2 linked regions of the Rattus norvegicus genome follow. The protein of the gene in region 2 purifies or fractionates together with the protein of the main gene of each other region. This does not show direct contact. Links are inferred from orthologs where the notes say so. Each region holds a gene or a part of one and is shown on either strand. Other genes may lie near its edges. The genes, in order: Cdkn2aip and Xrn2.

Region 1 (9,458 bases), on a different chromosome or scaffold from region 2:
GGTACTGGAAATTCAACTTAGGGCCCTGTATGCTAAGTAAGCACTCTATCACCTACCCTTTTCTTGGCAGGGTTCCTCAGAGATCTGCCTGCTTCTGCCTTCTGAGTGTTGGGATTAAAGACATGCCCCACCACTGTCATAAGACTTATAGCTCAGAACCTGTTTACTTTTCTCAAACTGCTCTATAGTCAAACACTCAAAGTCCTCAGCTCTTCTTGACTTGGCCTCTCAAGAAGTTGAAATTATATGTCTATGAGTGCACGCACTCCTCCACATCAAAAGATTACTATTATTTAAAGAATTTGCTTAAAACAAACCATTTTAGGAAATTACCAAATCATCTAGTATGATGTATTTCAGAAATTTATTTATTCTACTTTTTGGCTCACTTTTTTGTAAGCATTAGTTTACAAAGTTTACAACTCACTTATATTATTGCTTTCCACAATATATAAAGGTAGCCCATTTACAGAATATAGATTTTGCTCTGGTATCCAATGAACCATTCTCAAAAACAAATAATTTAAAAATGTCATCTGGCAAATTACAAACATCCCTGATTATTTCAGTTCAAGCTCAGGAAACTAAACATCTTTATTATTCTTAAACTACAAAATAATTTTTATACACTTAAACTGTGCTTATGTCCAACCTTCCAATACCAATACAACTAGTGAATGAGGTCTTTTTACTGCATACTATCTCCATTACTGTTTGGTGTGCAGCTCCTAGAAAGCCAGAAGGCCCGAAGTCATATACCTTAGACCAGACTTTTAATTAAGAGTCACCTAAGATACAGATTTTACTTCATTACTAACAGATGCAGTCCACACGAATACACAATCATTAAAGAACTGACCATGGCTCTCTAGTCTTCTCCACATTCTTCTGAAATCTGCAAATACAAAAACCACCTGGTTCTAGATATAAACTTTAACTTCCCTATTTATAAAAATGTATATTATATACTATGAAAACTACTTGGTTGTAGTTTACTTTGAATAGTAGTGAGGAGCCAACTTACAAGACTTAGTTATGACTTCAGGGTGGGAAAAAAAAAACACAACCTCTTGAAAAGGTAAAATAGCTTAAAGCATTTAATATCTAAACAAATCAGTCTGTTCATAGTAGTCACAAAATATGCTTAATATAGAAATCAACATTATGTTTTAAGAAAGTGTAAATTGCTTTTTACCTCAAAACATAAATTAACCTGCTCAAGAATCTGCAGCGGTCAAAATCATGGTGAATTTTAAACAATTTCAGAATAAAATAACAATAAGTACTTTATACTGCTTTATATCTAAAAAAAAAAAGTTTACAGCATCTTCTCATGAAAATAGTTTGAGACAATTACTCTTATTCTTTAAGAGATGTTCAACATTATGAGTAACATTCTTAAAACCTTAAGTTGTATATTTTTCACACATTCAAATACTGTGGTCCCCTTTCTTTTATATGATTTAATCAAGTTAGAAAAAAAAGCATGGTAGACAACTTAATACATTTCTACCAAATTGGTAGTAGTACAAAAATTTTAAGATTCTACAGAACTACACATCGTACCTAATATATCATTAAAAATAGAAGACAGTATTTTCCTCAGCAAATAAAACAGCACACTGGTATGCTGTCAGTGTATACCCTTTAATATGCACTGTCATTCATAAATTATTTACAGCTCTACTTTAATGAAGAGAACTAGAATTTAAATTTTCTGCAAAACTGGAAAAAAGCAATATAAAATCTGTGAAAGCCAGTGTTTCATATAAAAGCCAGTTTTTCTCTTCAAACCCCAGGTACTGGATGCAGTGATACCTTGGGGAATCACAGTAATTCTTGAGGATGTTTCAGTGCTGGAGGTAAGTTTACAGGTCTTGATTCTTCATCGAGGAGTACTAGATCTTCTATCTCATTGCCTCTGTACTTCCTTTTACAGATCTTTACCACCACCTTCTTCTTGAGAAATAACTTAAGTGCCTCTCTTGATGCGACTGCTTTTGCATTTTCTTTGCTTTTCCCACAGCCAGTGCCCAAATACACCGATTTACACCTCAATTCACATACAATACTTTCTTGAGAGCTCTTATTTTGAGGCAGATCTGCCAGTTCTTTCAGTGGGACAAAAAACACATCTAGTGTTGCTTTCAGAGCCTCAATAGCTGCATTTAGCAGCTCGCCATGATTCACATTGGGGCTAAAGCCACCAACTGCTACCAACTTCCACGCCACTGTCTTATACAGTCTATTGAAGAAAGGCTGCTTCTGCTTTATGTCTTCATTGGTTAACTTCCGACAAGTGAATTTGACAGAACTCTCACTGGACTGTGAGGTACTTTTAGAAGGCAACTGTGAAGTGCTACTCTGAGAACTACTCTTAGAAGCTAGCTGAGACATGCTTCCTAAGGAAGTGCTTTTGGAAGCCACAGATCCACTGCTCTGGGAGCTGCTTTTGGAAGCTAACAGTGATGCAGCTACCTGAGAAGTCAGTAGTGATGTATTTGTTGAACTGCTCTTGGGCATTAGTAAAGAGGTGCCTGATGAGGAACTGTTTTTAGAAACTGATGATGAAATGTTTGCCTCTGAACTAGCTTTGGTTGTTAACCCACTCGAAGCTGTCTCTGAACTAGACTTACAAGACAGTAATGGCAACTCTACTTCTGAGCTTCCGGAGGAACCCAACAAGGGCACCTCAATCTCTGAGCTGCTCTGAGAAACTGAAACTGAAGAACCTTCCAAAGCATTCTTTCTAGGTGATCCACTATGCTGTCTGGAATCAGTGGATTTCGTCACATGACTATTCAGACTGGATTTTAACAGTGAAGAAACAAAGGATGCTGAACCATGTTTATCTGGAGCTTCTGGCTCAGAAGCTTTTCCAGACCCTGCTGATGTTACCTGAGAGGAATTGCTGCTGCTTTGGCTGCAAACAGATCTATCGCCTTCACTTGTGGAACTATTCTGATGGGAGACACCAGAGTTGCTCCGAGCTGAGGTCCCACTACTCTCTGATTTGGTGGACGACCCCTTGGATCCTGAACTGTTTTCTTGCTGAGCTGAACGATCTGTTTTGGCAGATTTTTTCCCATGATCTCGCTCAACTGAAGAATTGTTTTTTCCTTCTATGGATCGTTTTTTGGATGGCTCTTCTACCCCTTCTAGAAAGAAGAGAAACACAGGTATTTTACTAGGAGTCCCCACAGACATGTCGATCAACAAAACATTCATTTAAAAAGCACAGAGAGCAGGGTGGCAGCACATGCCTTTAATCCTGGCATGCAAGAACCCCGAATTTGAGGCCAGCCTGGTCTACAGAGCAAGTTCCAGGATAGGCTGGGCTACACAGAGAAACCCTATCAAAACAAAACAAAAACAAGCAAACAACAACAACAACAAAAGCACAAAATAATTTCAGAAAGTAGTTTTTCTTAAAGTATGGAACAACTTCATTAATGTATTAAAACAGGTATTGTTAATATTAATTTCTAATATTAAATTAAGAGCATCAGACATCAGACTTGAACATCTAAAACAGTTAAAGTAAATTATCAAATTCAGCACCTAAGACAGACAGAAACACAGTTTACCTTTAACATTTCAGCTAGATTAATACAGCATACACACTCTGGATTGTTAAAAAGAAATTAGTAATGACAATAATTCCTAATTTTATCAAGCTTATTTTCTAAACTCCTATGTATGTTCACATCTATGATCTGCTAACCATTGCTACTCGATATCCCTCTTTTCTTCACCTTGGCAACCAGTTCGTCTCGTGTGGTATGGATTGGAGCATCTGTCACTTTGATGCCTTCAGCCATACTAAGAATTTTATCCATAACTTTTTGAGGGTACCTGAAAAAGAAGCAAAAGTCGCTCTCAAGAAGTGTTTTTCGAAAAGTACTGGCAGTGTGAGGAATGCAGGCCCGCGGAGACTGCATTTCCTGGTCGCGATCAAAGTGTACGAACCGCGAGACAACTTTTGTTTCCCGAGATGCCAGGGACAAATGTCCTAGGGCTCGGGAGGCGGGTCTGTGCCAGGGAACCTTTAAACTCGGTCTCCCTGGCCGAGAACCGTCAGCTATGCGGCAACAACTCCATCTGCCGGGCGCAAACAACCCGGACACCGGCCAACAGTGAGGTCGAGGCTGCCACGGTCGCCCCTCTTGCCTTCCGAGGACCGACAGTGCCACCGATTCCCGCGCTTCCAAAGCGGCCCTCCCTAGCGACTCTGGTCCCCGCGAGCGCGCCTCGCCCAGCGACAGGGGGCGCGGACGAAGCCCGGAAGGCTGGATAGCGACGCTCCCACTCACCGGCACCCTAGGAAGACATGGTTTGCCCAGGCCATGGAGAAGGAGACGAGCTGCTGTAGCTGCCGACTGCGGGCTCCGCTTTCCGCGTCCGCAGTCTCCTCGGTCGCGGGGACCAGGTCCCCGGCATTGCGAAGCAGAAACTCCCGGCGGTGGCGCCAGTGTTTGTCCGTCTCGCCCTCGCAGCGAAGGGTCTCCACCCAGGCGGCTACTCGCGGGTTCTGGCTCAGGTACTCGGATACCTCCTGCGCCATGTTGGGACCCTGCGAGACGAGGAGAGCGCGAGCGCACAGGGCGGAGCGGCGAGCGGCCCTGTCAGCGCGGCCTGCACCGGCGGCCCTCCCGAGAACGCCCCTCCAGAAGCCCAAACACCAAACAACAGAACAAGGCGCCGACGAACCGCCCACTTCCGCCTGCCGCTGGCTCGCTCCCTTTTATAACCTCGCTGCCGCCGCGCACTCGCGCGCCCTTCCGGCGCGAGCGCGTTCTCCCAGGATGCTTTGCAGCGCCCAGCCGCCGGCGACTCAGCGGTTGCGCCCACCTCGGTCGGAGGGCGCGCCCGGCTGAGGCGGAGCCGAGGCGACTGAGGGGCAGGCGTGCCTCCCGCCCTGAGAGGGCGCGCGGCGCCAGTGCGGCAGCCTCAGCGTTCCGGCGGCGCTTTGTGACGCCGGGCTCTGTTTCCGCCCCCGGGCTTGGCGACCGCGGGCGGAACGCGGAGACCTGGCGTCGCGGGAGTCGCCGCTCCGCCTGCGCGTCTCCGCCCTCGGACACTCGCAGTCGCGCGCGGCCAAAATAAACAAAAGCTGGCTTCCATGGCCGCCCTGCCTCAAGAGCTGCTGTGTACCGGGGGAAGTAAACCCAGTGTCCCGAGGCCAGGAAAGTCTCGGGGCGTTTGGGGACGTGGGGATGGATGTCTTGAGCGGCAGGGGCAATAAAAGTACTAAGCACGAATGTAACTTAACCGGCAAGCACAAGCTACTCCTCCAGTTTATTTAAAGCCAGACGACCTTTGCGCCTGCGCCGCACGATCTGGCTTGGTTTCCGCGGTTTCTTAGGTTCCTGGTTCAACCCAGACAATACCTGCTTCCTCTCCCCTAACGTTTTTGGTCCTCAAGCTATAAACAACCCTATGTCAACTGCTTTTAGCTGTTAACGCCGGTAGGACCAAAGTGGAAATGTATCTGCTTATCTCGTCTGCCCGGCCTCTTCCCTCAAGAGCAACTGTGCTTTTGCACTTTTATGTGTTCCATGTTTTTGCTTGCATGTCTGCCTGTGCTTTATGTACATGTCTGATGCCCTTGGACGCAAGAGGGCTATGGATCTGGAGTTGAAGTGATGCGGGATTTTGAGCGCCGTGTGGGTTCTGGGAATTGAACCCAGGTCTTCTTGAAGATCTGCGGGTACGGCGGAGCCAACTCTCCAACCCGTGGTTTTTTAGTTGCTGGTGTGTTTATTAACATTTCCAAGTTTAGTTATATGTATAATATTAGTGAAATCAAAGCATGAGTGTAATAATATGAATAGTGATAAATTATGTGATTGAATTTTCCTCCAATAGATGTTTGCGTTTCTGTTGTGAGAATGCTTAAATCAGAATGATTGGGGTTGGGGATTTAGCTCAGTGGTAGAGCGCTTGCCTAGGAAGCGCAAGGCCCTGGGTTCGGTCCCCAGCTCCGAAAAAAAAAAACAAAAAAACAAAAAAAACAGAATGATTAAGGAAAAAAATTAAGTCATTTTGTTACTAAACTTTGACAGTTATAAGCCTGTGCCCTAACACGATTCTGCTTCAATTAGCCAATTAGAAGATTCACATTAGTGGGAAGCAGGTAAAGACCTTTAAAGAGACCACACAGGCAAGGGGAGACAAAGACGGCTGCAGTGTGCACTCTGGAGCAGAGGCAGGCGGATCTCTGAGTTGAGGCCAGCTTGGTCTACAGAGCTAGTTCCAGGACTACACTAAGAAACCGTTTTCCAAACCCTGCCCCCTCCCGCTAGATGAAGAGAGGAGAGGAAGGGGGGGTGTGGAGACAGGAGGAGAAGGGGGAGGGGAGAGGAGAGTAGGAAAGAGGATGAGAGAGAAAAACAGAGAGAGAGAGAGAGAGAGAGAGAGAGAGAGAGAGAGAAATGAGGGAGATGGATACTGACACCCACCCGACCCCAAGTGAGTCTTTCAGACCCTGAAATGAGATTCACGTTTAAATAAAAGGCTAGGGATGTGGACATTTAAGATATGAGTCATCACAAATGGGATCTCATAAAACTGCAAAGCTTCTGTAAGGCAAAGGACACTGTGGTTAGGACAAAACGGCAACCAACAGATTGGGAAAAGATCTTTACCAATCCTACAACAGATAGAGGCCTTATTTCCAAAATATACAAAGAACTCAAGAAGTTAGACCGCAGGGAAACAAATAACCCTATTAAAAAATGGGGTTCAGAGCTAAACAAAGAATTCACAGCTGAGGAATGCCGAATGGCTGAGAAACACCTAAAGAAATGTTCAACATCTTTAGTCATAAGGGAAATGCAAATCAAAACAACCCTGAGATTTCACCTCACACCAGTGCGATTGGCTAAGATCAAAAACTCAGGTGACAGCAGATGCTGGCGAGGATGTGGAGAAAGAGGAACACTCCTCCATTGTTGGTGGGGTTGCAGACTGGTAAAACCATTCTGGAAATCAGTCTGGAGGTTCCTCAGAAAATTGGACATTGAACTGCCTGATGATCCAGCTATACCTCTCTTGGGCATATACCCAAAAGATGCCTCAACATATAAAAGAGACACGTGCTCCACTATGTTCATCGCAGCCTTATTTATAATAGCCAGAAGCTGGAAAGAACCCAGATGCCCTTCAACAGAGGAATGGATACAGAAAATGTGGTACATCTACACAATGGAATATTACTCAGCTATCAAAAACAACGAGTTTATGAAATTCATAGGCAAATGGTTGGAACTGGAAAATATCATCCTGAGTGAGCTAACCCAATCACAGAAAGACATACATGGTATGCACTCATTGATAAGTGGCTATTAGCCCAAATGCTTGAATTACCCTAGATCCCTAGAACAAACGAAACTCAAGACGGATGATCAAAATGTGAATGCTTCACTCCTTCTTTAAATGAGGAAAAAGAATACCCTTGGCAGGGAAGGGAGAGGCAAAGATTAAAACAGAGACTGAAGGAACACCCATTCAGAGCCTGCCCCACATGTGGCCCATACATATACAGCCACCCAATTAGACAAGATGGATGAAGCAAAGAAGTGCAGACCGACAGGAGCCGGATGTAGATCGCTCCTGAGAGACACAGCCAGAATACAGCAAATATAGAGGCGAATGCCAGCAGCAAACCACTGAACTGAGAATAGGTCCCCTATTGAAGGAATCAGAGAAAGAACTGGAAGAGCTTGAAGGGGCTCGAGACCCCAAAAGTACAACAATGCCAAGCAACCAGAGCTTCCAGGGACTAAGCCACTACCTAAAGACTATACATGGACTGACCCTGGACTCTGACCCCATAGGTAGCAATGAATATCCTAGTAAGAGCACCAGTGGAAGGGGAAGCCCTGGGTCCTGCTAAGACTGAACCCACAGTGAACTAGTCTATGGGGGGAGGGCGGCAATGGGGGGAGGGTTGGGAGGGGAACACCCATAAGGAAGGGGAGGGGGGAGGGGGATGTTTGCCCGGAAACCGGGAAAGGGAATAACACTCGAAATGTATATAAGAAATACTCAAGTTAATAAAAAAAAAAAAAAAAAAAAAAAAAAAAAAAAAAAAGAAAATAAATCACCAAAGAATAAGAAAAAAAAAAAAAAAAAAAAAAAAAAAAGATATGAGTCATCAAACAGCGGCATTGTCCAGGCCTGAGTCTCCGAGGCGAGGTGGCTAAACTGTGGTCAGAACTTGAAATCTTTTTCAAGAAGACAAAGTCCCATTAGCTGGAGCCTTTTACTTCTAAGATTTTGGGGGGAAATTCTCATTTTTTAAGGGTCCATTGTTTGAATAGTCTAATAAGAGAGTAAGAGGGGCTGGGGATTTAGCTCAGTGGTAGAGCGCTTACCTAGGAAGCGCAAGGCCCTGGGTTCGGTCCCCAGCTCCGAAAAAAAAAAAAAAAAAAAAAAAAAAAAAGAGAGTAAGAAGCAGGAGCCTTTTAAATTACCTTCATTTCAGCCCAGCCAGTCACCCCAAGCCAAGATCTATGAGCTTGAGGCCAGCCTGGTTAACAAAGTGAACAGGAACAGCCAGGGCTACACAGAGAAAGCCTGTCTGGAAAAAAAAAAAAAAACAAAAAACAAAACACTTTAAAAAAATTTCTTTTTCTACCAGGCAGTTACAATGTTAGATGACACTGAATAAGCAGAAATGCTGTCTTTTAAAATTTATATACATGCTGGAGCAATAAGAACCAGCTTCATGAAAACACTGCCTTCCTTGCCATACCAGAAGAGGCTACAACAGCAGGCCAAAAACCGTTTTTTGGAAGCTTCAATCTTGCTCTCCTATTCCTTTTATAGTTAAGACCTGAAATGTAAAGGCTATAGAAGCATTTGGCAAGGGGTTCAGAAGAAAATATGATTTCATAGCTAGGTGACATTGGTAAATTGTTTATTTGTGACAGATTTCTCAGTGTAACTGAGCCCTCGATGTCCTGGACTTGCTTTGTAGACCAGGCTGGTCTCCAGCTCACATGATCTGCCTGCATCTGCCTCTCCAAGTGCTAGAATTAAAGGCATGTGTCACCATATCTGGTGACACTGGTAAATTTTCAAAACAAGATATTTTTCTCTTGCTGCCCTGTGTCTTCCTTCTGACTAGCTTCAAGGCCATGGCAGAAAATCAAATAGAACATTTTCTTTTCTCTCCCTTTTCCCTCTCTCCCTTCCTTTCTTTCTCCCTCCCTCCCTCCCTCTCTCCTTCCCTTCCCTTTCTTTCTTCCCCTTCCTTCCTTCCTTCCTTCCTTCCTTCCTTCCTTCCTTTCTTTCTTTTCTTGACATGGTTTCTCTCTGTAGCCCTGGCTGTCCTGGAATTCACTTTGTAGACCAGGCTACCCTCAAACTATAGATCAGCCTGCCTCTGCCTCCCTAGTGCTGGAATTAAAGGCCTGCACCATCATGTCTGGCTACAACTAACCTTTCAACAG
Region 2 (9,458 bases):
TGGAGTGTAGCACCCAGTATACTGTTGGTGCTCCAGTGGATAACCCAACACACATATATAGGTGAAGAGCACTAATTGGACTTGGTCAGTGACTCCTAAGTTAAAAAGACAACAAGACAAGTAGCAAACATATCCCAGCACTAGGAAGGCAGATAGGCCTCTTGTGAGTTAGAGGTCAGCTTAGTCTACACAATGAGGCAGGAAGTTTTTCTATATACAAATAATGAACATGCTGAGAAACTAGGGGGGAAAACCACATTCACAATAGCTTCAAAAACAAAGCCAATCAATCAACCACCACCCACCCAACAAAAAACATTCCACAATAAATATGATCATGGAAGTAAAAGAACTCTATGAAATTTGGACACTGAGGAGACGCCTCAATAGGTAAATGTGCTTGCTCTGTGAGCATTGAGCATATCTAAATTGAATCCCAGGATCTGTGTATAAAGAGCAAGTCACAGCTATATGTGCCTATAAACCTATAGTTGGGAGGGTAAGACAAGGAAATCATGAAAGTTTGCTAGCCAGTTAGCCTCACCTAAAAAGTGAGCTCCCAATTCAGTGAAAATTCCTCCCTTAAAGAATAAGGAGCTCAATTTTTATTCCATGAGAGGGGTTGGGGATTTAGCTCAGTGGTAGAGCGCTTGCCTAGCAAGCACAAGGCCCTGGGTTCGGTCCCAGCTCCGGAAAAAGAGAGAGAGAGAGAGAGAGAGAGAGAGAGAGAGAGAGAGAGAGAGAGAGAATATAAGGTGGAAAGTAAAAGAGGAAGATACTCAATGTCCTATGTCCTCTTCATGCACAAGCAACCACATACCCATGTGCATGCACTATGCATATAATCCCAAAATAAAAGATAATGCAACACTGAAGAAATTGATGCAGATACTAGAAGACTAAAATCTCCCATGCTTTGGAACAGCCCAAAAGCAATCTACAGATTCCATGTAATCTATTATCAAAGTTTCAATGACAACCTCTACAGGAAAAAAAAATATTCACATGGGAACACAAGAAGCCAAAGTAATACTGAGCATAAAGAAAAACACTAGAGGTGTCAGTATTCTCCATCTCAAATTACACAACAGAGCCGTGGTAATAAAATCAGCAAAGTTATGGACCCCAAAAACAAACATGTTAAAAAAGAAATGAAAGAGGACCCAGAAATAAATAGCAACAGCCATCACGGATTTGGGAAAAGTGCTAAAAACATGCCAGACTTTTCAAGAAACAATGCTGCAGAACTGAGTGTTCACAGGCAAAGGACTCAAACTAGAGTTCTAGCTCTTGTTCATTACAACATAAATTCAAAATAGATCAAAGATTTAAGTATTAGACCTGAAACTCTGCAACTACCAGAAGAAAATATAAGGAAAACACTTTAAGATAAAGCACAAGCAAGGACTCTAATTGTCCAGGAAATTTCCAGGAAGAAAGACAAATGAGAGGGTGAAAAGAAGGCAACGTGGTTGAGAGCACTTGTTGCTCTTCTAGAGGAAGAAAGTTTGGTTCCCAGCACCAACATGGGGGGGGTCACATTTGCCCCAACTCCATCTCTAGGGGGAAATCCAACACCCTCTTGTGGCCTCAGAAGGCACTCATACACACACATGAATAAAAATAAATTTTAAAGAAAAAAATTAACAAGTGAGATTCCATGAAATTAAGTCTCTGCATTAAAAAAAAGCAAACAATTGGTAGTGAGAGCATACAGAATGAAACATTCCTGCCAGTTAGTTATCTGATACACACATAATCCAATAAATAAATAAGTGAAATAATACCTTTTAAAAGATAAAGTGGCCAATAATACAAAGAAAAACCCTTAGTCATCAAGAAATGCAAATCAAAACTACAATGAGATTTCACCCCAGTGAAAATGACTATCACATGAAATCAAGCATCATATGCTGGCACAGATACTGGGGAGTGCTGACACACACTGCTAGAAGCAAAGTGTGTGATGGCAGCCATTATGAAAAAGAGAAAAGGAAGAAAAAGGCAGAAAGGTAGAATTACCATATGATATGATCTAGCTGTGCCTATATGATTGTGCATGCCTACAATCCCAGCACCCAGTAGGATTATGAGTTCCTGGACAACCTGGACTATGTTTCAAAAATGAAAGAGATGGTTAATGCATATCAATTAAGCTCAAAATCTAACTACGGAACATGAAAGTCAATGAACTAGGAAGAATAAATAGCATAGAGGCCAACCCGAAGTTCAACTGGGTAAAGGTGCTTGCTTAGAAGTAAAGAACTGATTTCACGAAGTTGTTCTTTGACCTCCATACACATGCTAAGACATGTCACTGTCTCTCTGCTCTGTCCTGGGAGCAGGTACACTTGTGTCTGTGTACATATATACATACTCAAAAACTTTCACCAGGTGGTGGTGCACACCTTTAATCCTAGCACTCAGTAGGTAGAGGCAGATAGAACTCTGAGTTTAAGGCCATCCTGGTCGACAGAGCAAGTTCCAGGACAGCCAGGGCTACATGGAGAAACCCTGTTGAATAGAAGAGGAGAGGGGGAGGGGAAAGATAACTGGGGGGTGGGGTGGGGAGTAGGCTCGAGAAAGCTCACTCTCACCCATATTCTTCTAAAGGACACTAATTGCTCACACAGAGACAGAAGTCAATGAAGGTAGGGAAGTAAGGGATTGGGGGGGGGGGGGCCCGCACAGGGATAGTATGGGGACACCTAAGAAAGAAGGATGTAAAAGGGTGGATGGGATCTAAACATATTGTGTAAATGTATACAAATGGCACAATGAAAACACTGTGAACAACTAATACATGCACACACAAACTGACCAGTTCTTAAGAATGAAAGGGGAGGGTCATAAGTTAGACACAAGGCCTTCCCAGCTTTCATATTGGTATGATATTAGCTGAATAAGTAACTCAGAAATATTGAAATTTTTCAAAAATTGGAAAAGTAATTGAAAAGAATCTTCCCCTTTTGATTTCCTTCTCCATAACAGGCACCTAACAACCTAGTATCGATCCAGTGCTCAGAACAGAGTCTGGTGCATGGTAAATGGTACCAAAATCTGGGAAATACATACCACAAAACCCTGCCAGACCTAGCAGCCAGCAAGCGGCTTTAAATTCCAGCACTGGGGAGGTAGAGGCAGGCAAATCTGAGTTTCAGGCCTAACAGAACTACATAGTGAGACCTTGTCTTAAAAGAAAATGTTTAAATTTTCATCAACAATAACAGCTAGAAAGAGTGTTTCTAACATCTTCATGGGAACTGGTTTTCCAACTTGGAGTCATAATCACTCGGAGAAAATAAAGGTATTTCAGATCACACAGTGGCATTTCCTAAAAAGTCAATTCAAAAATAAAAACCAAAGATAGCTTTAAGCCAAGAGAGATGGGCTATTCTGCAAACTGTAATTCTCGGGAAGCATCTTTCCAGGAAGCATATTGAAAAAAAGTGCTGGGAAGAAAATAGCTGTAAAGACAACTCCAAGCTGGGAATGTCAGTACACAGGAGATTGCCTGTGTGTGAGCGTCTGGAATTTGTATCTCCAAAGGAAAAATTAATACTTAAAAGAGGCGCAATGGAAAAAAAAAAAAAAGGACTTGACAGAATGCCTGATAAAATAATTTAGATGAGGTATAAAGTGTACCCAAACTAAGGGTGAGAGGGACAGGGTAAGGGAGGAGCTAGCTTTAGTAAAAGATAAGCAACCTCAAACTACAATCACAGTATAAAACAGCCAACAACACCACTTCTCTCGCAGCTTGTATGGTCAAAGGTTTGACAATCTTGAACGAGAACTAAAAAGTACAGGGGACCAAAGAATTAAGACAGCTAGAGTTGGGGGGTGGGGGTGGGGAAGCTAACATCAGTCTTAGAAAGTAGAAAATGATACTTCGTTTGGCGATAGAATTTTTGTTTTGCGAGAGGGTCTCACTATATAAGCCTTAATTTGCTTTGAACTCTGTGTAGATCGGGCTGAACTCCATAACTCAAGCCTACCTCTCTCCCAAGTGCTGGGACTAAATGTATATGCCATGCCTTGACCCGATATACGTTTAAACCAGTTCTCCATTAAATTACAAAATTTACCATCAGATACAAGAATTAGCATTAGAAAAACGGGTGGTGGTGAATAAATAGCTAATTCCTCTTCTACCCAAAATTATATAGACCTAAAACAGATAAATCAAACAACCATATTCAGAGACAGTGCCAAAACAGTCCAAAGCGTCTGTCTTTCGAGAGAGAAGACTGGACGGAAAAGAACGGAAGAACAACTGTGGCTTTCCCTTTGGAACGTCCTCCCAGGGGAAGGCAAAGTTTTACAAAGGAAATAATAATTCAGCTTAGCAATTTGTCTTTTGAGAACAGAAAAAAATACTAGGAATGTCACCAAAACAAAGCTTTTGGTTTCTTCTAAGACACGAAGTAAGAAAGTAAATAACTTAAGCAGGAGAAATAGGTTCTTGGAAGGAGGCGGTTCTAAAGACGAAAGTGGGAGGGGACACATGTGCCCGGAACTTTTCCAATCCAGAAATTCTAATTGAGAGTACAAAGTCGAACTCGGACAGAATTACGCGAACGACAAAAGCAAAACTCACGAATCGGAACAGCTATAAGTCTGCCTGTGAAGTAGCAAACTAACACCACTCGAGAAGACAGGAAGTGAAAACAGCGAGCTGCCCGGCAGTCTTAAGACAGCGAAGCCCCCGCGGGGAGACAGACCGCTCCTCCATCCTAGTCCTTCGTAACTAGCACGGTTAACTGCAACAAATGGCCAGTCTCCGGTGGAAAACAAGCGATCCGACCACCGGGAATGCCGGGCTCAACAAAGTGGACCAGGCAGCGGTCCCTACCCAGCCAACCCTGCTGCCCGCGTTAGGGGGCTGACCAGACAGGGCGCCCTTTCGAACTCTGAGCGGCGCGGGCAGCCGAGGAAACAAAGCCGTGGGCGGAGTCTGGGGTACCCGGCTTGGCAGTCGGGGGAGGAGCCGTCCAAGCCCCTACAGACCCCTACTCCCCCTTGCTTCGCTCAGAGCGCCTCCGGAACCGCGAACCCGCGAAGCGGCCCGCGAGGCTCCCTGGGGCGGGCGCCTGTTCCCGAGGGCCGCGGCCTAGACGTGTCGCGCTGGGTCCCCACTCCGGCGTACTGGCCGCCTCCTCACCTTCTCCTCCACGCAATTGACAATGATGGACGGGTACTTGCGGCTGAGCCAGCGGAAGAACGCCGGGACTCCCATGACCAGCGGGCAGCTCGAAGCAGCAGCCGGGCAGCGGGAGAGTGTAACCAACGAGACTGGCGGGAGCGGCCAGCCGAGGGCACTTCCTCCCACGTGCGTCCAGCGACCGGAAGTTACGTCATTCCACCACCGCGAGGGAAGCAGGGAAAGGAGCTCGGTTAAGTGAGAGTTCGTTTGAACTGCACAAGCGGTGGCCGGTTTGGACGGGCTGTAGGTGGTGAGACCTAAAGCCTTTGAGAGCTGGACTCCGGGCTGACGCCTTCGCCCGCAGTAGTCCTCAGAGCACGGGCCACAGTAGGCCCGCGGCAGCAGTTCCTTGCTGGTGTGGTCAGGCTTTGCAAAGGCGTGGCCTATCTGACTTCCTTTCTCACAATCAGTCTTGGGCTGAATAGAACCATCTACACTCTAGTTTCCATTTCCTGGTTTCTCTCATTTTTTTTTAAAATGCAACTGTGCCTGGCAGAACTATGAAAAAGCATCATAAAGTGTCCTACAAATTTTTTTAAAATCTGCTTTTGCATAAGCAACTTTTCAAAATACGTTTAAGATTTATTTTTAATTATGTGAATGTGTGTATATCTACATGTGGTTATGTGAACGAGTGATGGTACCTATGGAGGCCAGAGGCATCAGATCCCCTGGAGCTGTCATCTGCCTGCTGTGACTGCCAGAAGTCAAACTCTACTCCTTTGGAAAAGCAGCATGAACGCTTTACTGCTAAACCATCTCTCAACCCGACGAGTCACTTTAAATAGTTGCAGAATCTAGCTAGAATTTGGTGTTAAACAACCTTGTTGCTATGCTCAGTGTATCAACATTTCCCAATATCACGTTCTAGCATTTGTTGAGTACCTATGATGTGCTAAGGCAAGGAACTAAAGAATTATCTTATCACCAGTTGAGCCGTCTGTGCTGGCTGGCTGTGTCATCCTGGTGACTCCAGTGTGAAAGAATTCTCCAAACAGGGAGGGGAAAAAAAATTATTAGATTCAGTGCATACAGCAGGCAAGAAAGTAAAAGCTGGAAGGGGCTGTTTTGTGGAAGCATGTTTCTCTGTGGGCCTTGAGGCAGTGATTGTTTGCCTGAGTCGGGCACAGTGTAACAACTCCACCCATTCTGTGGTTTTGCTGTACCATTTTTTTGTAAAGCATAACACATAAAGTCAGGTTGTCAAAGAGTTAAATCACTTGCTTATTCATACTGCTTGTATTTCACTTCAAGCAAGGATCATTTAATCCTCTGCTCTCAAACCAACGTATTTTTAACCCTTGTTTTCTGGTGGCTTCAAATGTGCCCTGTCTATCCCCCACCCCACCCGAAGCTTATGAAAAAAAAGTCTTGAAAGAGGAGGTATTCGTGCCCATTTGCTCAAGCCTGAAAGTCTCTTCCCTGAATCCCCCTTGGCCTGACAAATCACACTCAATGACAAAGGCTCACCTTAAGAGGCCTCTGTAAAGGGTTTCTCTGCTACCTGTCAGGCAGTAAATGTTGTCCCTCCCTCAATGGTTTAATGACTTCATTTGAATGCTACTGTGGAACTTAGCCTATGTTTAAGAATAGTTATATATGTGCATATATATGTGTTTGTTCTAGAATATTTTTTCTATGATGAAAATTCCCATTTTAATTGGAAATAGTTCCTTCTTAAGAGTTTGGGTCCAGGGCTGGAGAGATGGCTCAGTGGTTAAGAGCACCGACTGCTCTTCCAGAGGTCCTGAGTTCAATTCCCAGCAACCACATGGTGGCTCACAACCATCTGTAATGGGATCTGATGCCCTCTTCTGGTGTGTCTGAAGATGGATATAGTGTACTCATACACATAAAATAAATAAATCTTTAAGAGTTTGTGTCCTCTGGAATGGGCTATGTTCTTATGTGAACACAAATTCATAGGCAGTTGGGGAGGAGCAGGCAGCTTGCTACATTGAGTTCCCCAGAGTTGATCACAAATGGTTTTGAACTTTGAAATGTAAAAAATAAGTCAAAAGCTGTATATGGTAATAAGCATCAAAACATCCTGGTCTGACAAAGAGGCATACTCAAGTAATCCTAGCACTGAAGAGGAGGGTAGCCTGGGTCCAAAAAACAAAGGAAACATACAGAAACGTATGCTACTCTATGATGTTCGTTTGGAAATCCTGCTCATCCCCAGCTCAAGGTGGGAAACCCCATTTGCCCTCCTACCCCATCTTTAGCCCCTCCCACACAGAAAAATCCCCCACCTGCTTGGAAAGCACTCTAGGCTAACAGGTCACCTCCCCTTCTCTCCGTGTTTCCCACAACTCACCCAAGAGGGCCTGCCCTGGGACTCAGTTTTTGACTATAATGTGGACACAATCGCAGCTCCTAGTTCACACATCATTATCCAGTGCCCAAGACCCGTAAAAAACCCCTTGCTTTAGCCTAGATAGATGCTCGACTTCACTGAGCTCCACCTATGAGACCAGTGAAGCTGAGAGCTGCCTCCTAATAAACCTGCCTTTGGCTACTTTGAATGCGGTTTAACCTGGCCCATATCTGCATCACTGAAGGAGAGGAAAAGCCGATCATCCCTCAACAGGTCTAAGTCTAATTCCAGGGGGGTTTTGAGCTAAAAACCTCTCCTTGTAATTTGATTGATGAGTGTGGCTTGTATGAGATGTTCCCCCACAGTCTCAGGCATTTTGAGTGCTTGGTCCCCAGTTGGTGGCCATTTTTGGAGAGGTAGGTCTGACCTTGTTGGAATGAGTGCGTTACTAGAAGCGGGCCTTGCGAGTTTCAAAAGCCAGACACCATTCCCAGTTTGCTCTCTCTGCTTCTTGCTTGCAGGTTAAGGCAGGAGCTCTCAGCTTTCTGTGCCAGCTGTCATGGCTGCCTGCTGCCATGCTTCCCAATCTCGATGGTGATGGATTCTTCTTCCTCTGGAACCATAAGCTCAGATAAACCCTTCTATAAACTTCCTTGATCGTGGTGTTTTATCTAAAAAATAAAAAGGTGAAACCCAGACAGTGGCAGGAGGGTATGGACTAAACCTTGTAACACTTTCTTCAACCCAGTGTGTCCTAGGAAGTCTTTTAATATTCAAGCTTGAATTTGTCTTGTATAAATTAAAGAAGAGACTGAGTCTGGTGTTGAGTCACTGTGGTCTGGAATCACAAGTGTGGGCAATGAACAGCTCAAGAACAGAAGAGGTGATGAGAGTTTGTGTTGGAAATGCACACAAACATTGAAACAGACTATAGGCTTCTACAGATTTAGAAGCCAGAGGGTCGGAGACATGTTCACCAAGATTTCATGGGCCAGAGGAAAGCTTTCCGCTGACATCTGAATTACATTCCTGTAAAGGATAATATGTAAAACAGTGTTCATTTTTTCCTTATGCCATGTAAATCTAGATTTTTTTTAAAAACTAAAAGTTACTAAACTGCCATGAAAATATAGTTCTCATAATATGACAATAAAGGCAACTCTTTTTTTAAAGATTTATTTATTCATTATATATAAGTACACTGTAGCTGTGTTCAGACACACCAGAAGAGAGCATTAGGTTTCATTACAGATGGTTGTGAATCACCATGTAGTTGCTGGGATTTGAACTCGGGACCTTTGGAAGAACAGTCAGTGCTCTTAACCCCTGAGCCATCTTTCCAGACAAGACAACTCTTTTTATTTTTTTTTATTTTTTTTAATCCCCCCCCCAAGACAACTCTTTTTAAAAGCTATTGATTCATTTGCTGACTGCCATGGTCTGGGTTGCCACCCATGGGACAAATTTCACTTGGTGCATCTCAGGCCCACTCATCTCCATATCCCGCAGTATCTGCCCTCCACCCTTCCTTGCAACATCCTCCCCCAAAATAAAATAATAATAATAATAATAATAATAATAATAAGAAGAAGAAGAAGAAGAAGAAGAAGAAGAAGAAGAAGAAGAAGAAGAAGAAGGGGAAGGGGAAGGGGAAGAAGGGGAAGGGGAAGGGGAAGGGGAAGAAGGGGAAGGGGAAGGGGAAGAAGGGGAAGAGGAAGGGGAAGGGGAAGAGGAAGGGGAAGGGGAAGAAGGGGAAGGGGAAGGGGAAGGGGAAGAAGGGGAAGGGGAAGAAGGGGAAGGGGAAGAAGGGGAAGGGGAAGAAGGGGAAGGGGAAGGGGAAGAAGAAGAAGAAGAAGAAGAAGAAGAAGAAGAAGAAGAAGAAGAAGAAGAAGAAGAAGAAGAAGAAGAAGAAGAAGAAGAAGAAGGGGGCTG

Evidence for each region.
Region 1: the proteins of Xrn2 (region 2) and Cdkn2aip purify together in Homo sapiens (affinity purification with mass spectrometry; 4 studies listed by BioGRID and IntAct, with this or other methods). This does not show direct contact. The link is inferred for Rattus norvegicus from reciprocal best matches to the Homo sapiens genes XRN2 and CDKN2AIP.

Annotation. Positions count from the first base shown.
Region 1 is NC_086034.1:51,264,381-51,273,838, reverse strand, and holds Cdkn2aip (CDKN2A-interacting protein), read right to left. Parts: upstream 4,908-9,458; 5' UTR 4,565-4,907; coding exon 4,314-4,564; intron 3,856-4,313; coding exon 3,725-3,855; intron 3,159-3,724; coding exon 1,828-3,158; 3' UTR 1,629-1,827; downstream 1-1,628. UniProt on the Homo sapiens protein: Regulates DNA damage response in a dose-dependent manner through a number of signaling pathways involved in cell proliferation, apoptosis and senescence.
Region 2 is NC_086021.1:154,886,187-154,895,644, reverse strand, and holds the start of Xrn2 (5'-3' exoribonuclease 2), read right to left. Parts: upstream 5,285-9,458; 5' UTR 5,240-5,284; coding exon 5,165-5,239; intron 1-5,164. UniProt on the Homo sapiens protein: Possesses 5'->3' exoribonuclease activity. May promote the termination of transcription by RNA polymerase II.